2 linked regions of the Macaca fascicularis genome follow. The protein of the gene in region 1 interacts with the protein of each later gene in a biochemical or structural test. Links are inferred from orthologs where the notes say so. Each region holds a gene or a part of one and is shown in the gene's direction. Other genes may lie near its edges.

Evidence for each region. The genes of interacting proteins can lie anywhere in the genome.
Region 2: of the proteins of KAT2B (region 1) and histone H2B type 1-B, one has a biochemical effect on the other in vitro, tested with the Homo sapiens proteins (3 studies listed by BioGRID). The link is inferred for Macaca fascicularis from reciprocal best matches to the Homo sapiens genes KAT2B and H2BC3.

The regions. Positions count from the first base shown.
Region 1 is NC_088376.1:28,389,037-28,393,118, reverse strand, and holds the start of KAT2B (histone acetyltransferase KAT2B), read left to right. Parts: upstream 1-1,282; 5' UTR 1,283-1,357; coding exon 1,358-1,660; intron 1,661-4,082. UniProt on the Homo sapiens protein: Functions as a histone acetyltransferase (HAT) to promote transcriptional activation. Has significant histone acetyltransferase activity with core histones (H3 and H4), and also with nucleosome core particles.
Region 2 is NC_088378.1:146,884,712-146,888,906, forward strand, and holds the start of histone H2B type 1-B, read left to right. Parts: upstream 1-1,395; 5' UTR 1,396-1,448; coding exon 1,449-1,825; intron 1,826-4,195. UniProt on the Homo sapiens protein: Core component of nucleosome. Nucleosomes wrap and compact DNA into chromatin, limiting DNA accessibility to the cellular machineries which require DNA as a template.

The DNA.
Region 1 (4,082 bases):
AAACAGCCCTGGACTTTTAAAACCTGCTTTAAGAAGGCGATCAACCGTACGCCACTTTCAAACGCAGCACTGACATGTATGCTCCACAGTCATCAACAGAGAAAACAACAGTTTTCAACAAGAGTTGAAAACTGAGTTGAGGGTTTTTTTTTTTTTTTTTTTTTTTTTTTAAGTTTGAGGCCAAAATCGGTATTTATTCTTTTGAATGATGCTTATATCTTTTTCCTGGTTAATATGCACGCTGGTGGTACAATTTTGAAAACTACGTAACGTGATAGAACCACCACCCAGAAACGAGTCCTGTTAACAAACTTTTTGTATTCAAACTTTTTCCACTGCACATAGTTTTTATTTTGACAATGCTTTTAGACAATCGTTCTTTTAGCAACCAGCACTTTCAAACAAAAAGTACAGGGAATAGTAAGTTTTTTCCCCCTCCTCTGGCAGATTTGACCCACAAATTGCTATAGGAAGAAAGTGTTAATTATATTAAAACATAGTTTGACAGAAAGTATTTAAAAAGAGAAAGGGAAAACATCACGCTTTTATTTTGGTGAATTAGCAACAAAGAAAAGGATTAGCATGGACGGGTACTTTTCAAAAATATTTTTTTTTTCCTCTGGCTCCCGCTAGGGTGGAGGAAGTTGTCTCTGCTCAGAGACAGGGTGGAAGAGAGTGGAAGGACAAATGACTGAGAGGCGGCCCCCTCCCACTGGTGCGGGCGTGCGGGGGTCGGATGGGGGGCCGCGGAGGGGGGAGGTGGCCAGCAGGTGCCTGGGCTCCAGTCCCCTACCCCCACCCTCGTCCCCACCCTCACCCACACCCAGGGATTGGCCTCGCCCCCTGGCGGGCGAGCAGTAGGTGTCGAGGCACTGGGGTGGGGGGTGCAAACCCCGCGGGCAGCGGAAAAGAAGCCGTGGGGGGCCTCCCGGCCCCGGCACACACTGCGAGGCTGGCACCCGCCCGCACGCACACCCAGTCCGCAGCCCCGAGGAACATGTCCGCAGCCAGGGCGCGGAGCAGAGTCCCGGGCAGGATAACCAAGGAAGGGCGTGTGCTGTGGCGGCGGTGGCAGCGGCAGCGGCAGCGGCAGCGGAGCCGCTAGTCCCCTCCCTCCTGGGGGAGCAGCTGCCGCCGCCGCCGCCGCCGCCACCATCAGCTCGCGGGGCCCGGCCGGAGCTAGCCCGGCGAGCGGCGCGCGAGGGGGAGGGCGGGGGCGGGGAGGGGGGTGGGCGAAGGGGGCGGGAGGGCGTGGGGGGAGGGTCTCGCTCTCCCGACGACCAGAGCCCGAGAGGGAGACCCTGGCGGCGGCGGCGGCGCCTGACACTCGGCGCCTCCTGCCGTGCTCCGGGGCGGCATGTCCGAGGCTGGCGGGGCCGGGCCGGGCGGCTGCGGGGCAGGAGCCGGGGCAGGGGCCGGGCCCGGGGCGCTGCCCCCGCAGCCCGTGGTGCTGCCGCCCGCGCCCCCGCAGGGCTCCCCCTGCGCCGCTGCTGCCGGGGGCTCGGGCGCCTGCGGTCCGGCAACGGCAGTGGCTGCAGCGGGCACGGCCGAAGGACCGGGAGGCGGTGGCTCGGCCCGAATCGCCGTGAAGAAGGCGCAACTACGCTCCGCTCCGCGGGCCAAGAAACTGGAGAAACTCGGAGTGTACTCCGCCTGCAAGGTACGCGCTCGCCGTTCTCGGACCGCGGATGGGTGCTAGGGGCCCAGCCCGCGGGACCCCCCTCCCCCTCCCGCTTCCACCTCCGCCTCCCGCCTTCTGCCTTCTGCCTCTCGCCTCCCGCCTCCCGCCTGGGGCCGCTGCACCGCGGAAGTGCTCTTGTCGCCCGAGCCCAATTAGCTTCTTCTTGGATAAGAGTCCTGCTGGGTTTGAAGAAGGGGATCACTAAGACGGAGAGCCCTTCATTCCTTCCGCTTGAAAGGAGTAGCTTCGGAATCCGAGCTCCCGGGCTACTCTGGGGTTTTGTTGCTCTGTAGGAGCTCGCTGGAGTCACTTTCGCGGGAGTGGAGCGGTGCTCTCCATGTGGTGGGCGACCCAGGGGCAGGGAAACATCTTTTGGGGGACTGAGTGGTCCCTTCTGCAGTCCATCCCTTCCCGTGTCCCACTGGGAGGAACTGGGTGCAAGGAGTCGGGGTGGAGAAGACTCCCGGACTCCTGGCGCTTTGGGAAAGCGAAGGGGAGGAAAGCGCGGGGTGCGAAGGTGGGCAGAGCCCGAGGCGAGGGTCTTGTGGCGCCTGACGCCCTCGGCTGGGGGCGGAGGCGCTGCCGCGCGCAGTGACAGCCCTGTCATTATTGTATTATTACTTGTTTAGTTAAAACGCTGTCCCAGCTGCTCGAGGTGTAAACAGGATTTGGCAAGGTGACAGCCCAGCGCCGCGGACGCTACTGCTTGGTTTGAGGACACCCATTTCTTGCTACCCACTCTCCGTGCCAGTTTAGGCACCCTGTCATCCCCAGCTGCAGATCCAGATGTGGGGGCCGTGCTCCCGAGGTGGGAGGATTGCCCGAGGCCGCGGGGCAGGCTGGCCCTGCGCTGTCAGCAGCGGCTTTGTTTTGACAGGGTGACAGCTGAGGGGGGCGGGGACTTGGCCTTGTCAGCTCCTGCGGCCTGTGGCAGAGGCAGGGAAGAGACACACTCACACACACTCACACACCTCCCTGTATTCTTCCTGCCTGCTGCAAAGAGGGTCAAGTTCCCAGATTCCGGATTCCCAATTCCCACAACCAAGCTGCAGTGGCCACTTCTGAATTTTGATATAACTATTATTTATTCTACTGGAACATCTGGGTTATACTCTTCTTAGTACTTACAGGAGCTTCTTAGTCACAATGGAATGTCTGTGCTTGCTCTTTTTCCACACCGTATCCTCATGTTTATGTTGAGCACCTCTGTATCCTATACTGGTTCGATAAATATTTGTTGAGTGAATGTGGGATCTAGCCCAGTGCTCCTCAAACTTTCATGTGCATGGGAATCTCCTGGGGAAGCTGGTTAAAATGCTGATTCTGAATCAGGTGGTCTGAGGTGGAAGCTAAGAGTTTGCATTTCTGACGAACTCCCAAGTGGCACTACGCTAGTCCACAGACCACATTCCAATTCAGACCTGGACAGTATATTATTTGTCCCCGTTGAATTTAGCAGAAAAGACAGAAACAAATAATAATGCCGTGTGGTTATTTCTGAAGAAGGAATGCAAAAAAGATGAAGTGGGGAGTGTGCTTTTTGAAAGGTGCAAGCCCAGGAGTTGATCATGAAGGGCATTAGATGAATGAGAACAGGCCACTGACTGTAGTAGGCAGAAGGGAGAGCTAGGTACAGAATTAAGAACAAGGTCGTGAGTTCAGGGCATACTGCTTGGGTGATGGATACACCAAAATCTCACAGATCACCACTCAAGAATTTATGTAATCAAACACCACCTGTTCCCCCAAAACCTATGAAAAAAAAAAAGCAAGGTCAATTACTTGGTGGCCTTGGCGTTTTGCAGCCAAAGTGGGCTCATGCAGGAACTGTGTCAACTCAGTGTTTCTGTCCTGGCTTTATTTTAACATTTGTTTATTGGGTTATCATTACCAGCACCTCTTAAAGACTTCCTGCTGCCTGCTGTAGCTTTAATATCTGAAAACTTTCCTGAAGTTTTGGTTTTGTCTAAAACCATGAGCATATGTGGCCTGCATTGATGTTTTTGATCTTTTCAAATTTCCATGGGTGAGATGTAGCACCACTTCCAAAGTTTGAGATTTGAGTGTTTTCTGGTCACTTTCATGACCAAACAAGAGAAATAGAAAATTTATTTTAAGGCCTTTTTTTTTTTTTTTTTTTTTGAAACAGGATCTCACACTGCCTGCAGGCTGGAGTGCAGTGGCATGATTGTAGCTCACTGCAGACTCAATCTCCCTGGGCTCAGGTGATCCTCCTACATCAGCCTCCTGACTAGCTGGGGCTACAGGCATGCACCAGTACACTATTATTATTATTTTTTGTATTCTTTGTAGAGACAGGGTTTCACCTTGTTGCCCAGGCTGTTCTCGAACTCCTGAGCCCAAGCACTTTGCCCGCCTTGGCTTCCCAAAGTGCTGGGAT
Region 2 (4,195 bases), on another chromosome or scaffold:
TTTAATGTAAATTCCGATTCAGTAAGTTTGCGTGGGACTTGAAATTCTGCATTCCTGACAGTCTTGAAAGTTATCAGTGCTGGTGAACACTCACTAAACCACCAGAAACGTTGACTGCCTCATGTCGGAAACTACTTACATTCAGAGAATGAGAATTCCATGCTATTTTGTTACTGGTCAACAGCCAGTTTCCTTATCCTTCGTTTTCTAAGTCCAAGTCACATTCCCACCCTGACTGTTCTCAAACTGTCTTATTTTGGTTGGCTTTAGTTTCACTTTGTATACTCTAAAATGTAGTTTCTTAAAGAAGATATTTCCTCGAAACTTAATTTTTAAACACCATTAGGCTAGGGGGGCCGTGGCTCACGCCTGTAATCCCAGCATTTTGGGAGGGCAAGATGGGAGGATCACTTGAGGCCAGGAGTTCAAGACAACCCTAGCTAAAATGGTGAAAACCCCGTCTCGAATAAAAATACAAAAATTGGCTAGGCGTGGTAGCAGACGCCTGTAATCCCAGGTACAAAGGAGGCTGAGGCATGAGAACCTGGTGAAGCCGCGGGGTGGAGGTTGCAGTGAGCCGATATCGCGCGGCGGCATTCCAGCTTGGGTGACAGAGCGAAACTCTGTCTCAAACCAATCCAAACCAAAACCAAAAGGTACCCGAAACACAAGCAAGTTACCATCCTTTCTTGTGAAACAATGGACGGTTCTGAAAAATGCCGTAGCAAGTTTAAGGTACGTTTTCTGGCTTGAGTGGGCTTTACTTGCTTTTGGCCTTATCGTGGTTCTCGGTTATTTTTGCAACAGGACGGCCTGAATATTGGCCAGGACGCCTCCCTGAGTAATAGTGACTTTGCCCAGCAGCTTGTTGAGCTGCTCGTCGTTGCGGAAGGCCAGCTGCAAGTGGCGGGGGATGCTATGGGTCTTGTCACGTATGGCGCTGCGTGTCAGCTCCAGGATATCGGCGGCCAGGTATTCTAAGTACAGCGGCGCGCCGGCTTCGACAGGCTCAGAATAATTGCCCTTTCGAAAAAGACGATGGACCCTGCGCTACTAGAAACTGCAAGGCTGGTACCGATGAACAACTTTGTGCTTTACTTCCGTTTTCCATGTCCAAACACAGCGACCTCTGAAAACTGTAAAAAACAAGCAAGATGGAATGGCGCCTGAAGAAATACTTTTATACAAACTGCAAGGCTGCAATAGAGAGTTATCCTATTGGTCAATTATGTTTCCTGCTTTATCCAATAGAAAAAGAGTCCATAAATTCCATATTTGCATAAACCCCACCCCTCAGTGAAACTGTATTTCTTTTATCCAATCAGAAGTGAGGAATCTTAAACCGTCATTTGAATCTCAGGACTATAAATACGTGGGCTCTGAACTGTTCTCTCTACTACTCTGCTGGAGAGTGTTAGTAGCTTTTTTGTTTTGTTTTAGGAATAGCGATGCCTGAACCCTCTAAGTCTGCTCCTGCCCCTAAAAAGGGCTCTAAGAAGGCCATCACTAAGGCGCAGAAGAAGGATGGTAAGAAGCGTAAGCGCAGCCGAAAGGAGAGCTATTCCATCTATGTGTACAAGGTTCTGAAGCAGGTCCACCCCGACACCGGCATCTCCTCCAAGGCCATGGGGATCATGAACTCCTTTGTCAATGACATCTTCGAGCGCATCGCGGGCGAAGCTTCCCGCCTGGCGCACTACAACAAGCGCTCGACCATCACCTCCAGGGAGATCCAGACGGCTGTGCGCCTGCTGCTGCCCGGGGAACTGGCTAAGCATGCTGTGTCCGAGGGCACCAAGGCTGTTACCAAGTACACTAGCTCCAAGTAAGTGCTTATGTAAGCACCTCCAAACCCAAAGGCTCTTTTCAGAGCCACCTACTTTGTCGCAAAGAGAGCTATAACCACAATTTCTTAAGGTGGTGCTGCCTCTGTTCTGCTTCAGTTCTAGAGGATCAACTAGAATGTTAGCGAAGGCAACTTTTAGAGCCAAGGTTAACTTGGGGCAGCGCGCCGTGGCTGTCGCCTTTAATCCCAGCATTTTGGGAGGCCGAGGCGGGCGGATCACTTGACGTCAGGAGTTCGAGACTAGCCCGGCCAACATGGTCTCTATTAAAAATACAAACGTTAGGAGGGTGCTGGCGCTCTTTCTCATCTGCCTTTAGCAAACTTCTTTGTTCCCCCTGGGTAAGCCTTCGGGTACTAGTTGTAATTCATTTGATATGGTCACTACTCCCTCCCTGGTCTAGCACAGGAAACTTTCCTTTCTGGATAATGAAACAAGTAATGCAATTCAGGGTACAGTGTTTCTATGGGGGTCATTAGCCGTTAACCGCTTGAGATGAGGGGGAGGGGAGCAGAAAAGTCTAAGCGACAAAAGGGCGTGTAGGGATATTTGCTCCTGCAGTTTGCCTATGCTGTAAATTCTTACCTCCAGTAAGAAGGAAAGATTTCCTCCAGTATTGAGGAAACAGTAAGCGAAGTCTGATTTCCCGGGCGCCTTTGTAGGGAATATTTCCCGTTCCACAAAATGAAATCGCAGTAGTTTTGCGTTATAATTGTTTATCAATGACAACAGCTATGTAGTTTACATATTTCATGCATCCCAGAAATCCAGATTCCCATTTCCTAGGCCACTTAAAATTCGGATTTCCAGCTCTGCGAGATACAAAAGGGTTTGAATTTTGTGCCTTTCCCCAACTGGCCCTACTGCAAAGATACTAGGAAGGCCCCACTTGGAGAGGGAAGCATTTTTCAAGAAATCCGGGACGCCAAAAACAATATAGCTAGAAAAAGGCAGGAAGGGTACTAGTTGAGGAGGACTTAATGGGCCAATTCTTGGTCTGGGGCTGGGGGAAGAAATGGAAGAAGAAAAGAACCTGTTGATTGCACACTAAGTAGGAGGGGATGGGGGAATCGGAGGGGAGTATTTTAAGTGAACTTACGGGCATTATATGTAGGTGACATTCAGCAGTGTCTTCGGATGAAGAAATAAAGTTTCTCAAACAGTTATTGTTTCTGTTTTGAGAAATGGTCTTGCTCTGTTGGCCAGGTGCCATCATAGCTCACTGCAGCCTCGACTTCTCCAGCTCAAGCTATCCTCTAACTTCAGCCCCTTGAGTACCTGGGACTACAGAAATGCGCCACCACACCCAGTTAATTTTTTAATTTTTTGTGGAGGCAAAGGGTCTTACTATCTTGCCCAGGCTGGTCAAGTGAACTCCTGGGCTCAAGTGATCCTCCCGCCTTGGCCTCCCAAAGTGCTGAGATCGTAGGAATGAGTCACCGCGCCCGGCCCAGATTTAATTTTTAAGAATATTTTAAAAGAGGTTCTGGGCCGGGTGTGGTGCAGCTCACGCCTGTAATACCAGCACTTTGGGAGGCCAAGGTGGGAGGATCACTTGAGCCTAGGAGCTCAAGACCAGTCTGGGCAACTTAGTGAGTCTGTCTCCACCAAAAATTTAAAAATTAACCAGGCCTGGTGGCACATTTCTGTAGTCCCAACTACTGGGGAGGTTGAAGTGGGAGGATCATTTGAGCCTGGAAGGTGGAGGTTGCAGTAAGCTGTGATGACACCACTGCACTCCAGCCTGGGTGAGGACAGACCCTGTCTCAAAAATAAAAAAAAAATCTGGATGCCACACAAAATGTCAGTGAACAACTGTAAGTGAAGCACTTCCCATCCTAGTACTGTATATGCAAACTACCGTTGTGAAAGAGACGCTTGTGTTTTAAAAAATCTATAATTTTTTTTAAAATTATAAAACGACCACCTCCCCCAAAACATTACTAAGCAATTGAGGCTGCAGTTTAAGAAACTGATATTTAGGATCTTTCCCCGGAGAAGTGAGACCTGCTAATATAAGCATTTGCAAAATGAACTTTTGGGCCAGGTGCATCATGCCTGTAATCTCAGCACTTTGGGAGACTTAGTCAGGCAGACCACTTGAGCTCACAATTCGAGACCAGCCTGGGCAACATGGCGAAATCCAGTCTCTACAAAAAATTAGCTGGGCGTTGTGGCATATGCCTATAGTTCCAGTTACTAGAGAGGCTGAGGTGGGAGGATTACTTGAGCCTGGGAGGTAGAGGTTGCAGCAAGCCAAGATCGCGCCGTGACAACCTGAGTGACAGAATGAGACACACCCCCCCAAAAAAACAGCCTGACTCATTAAAAAAAAAATTTAAAAATATTAA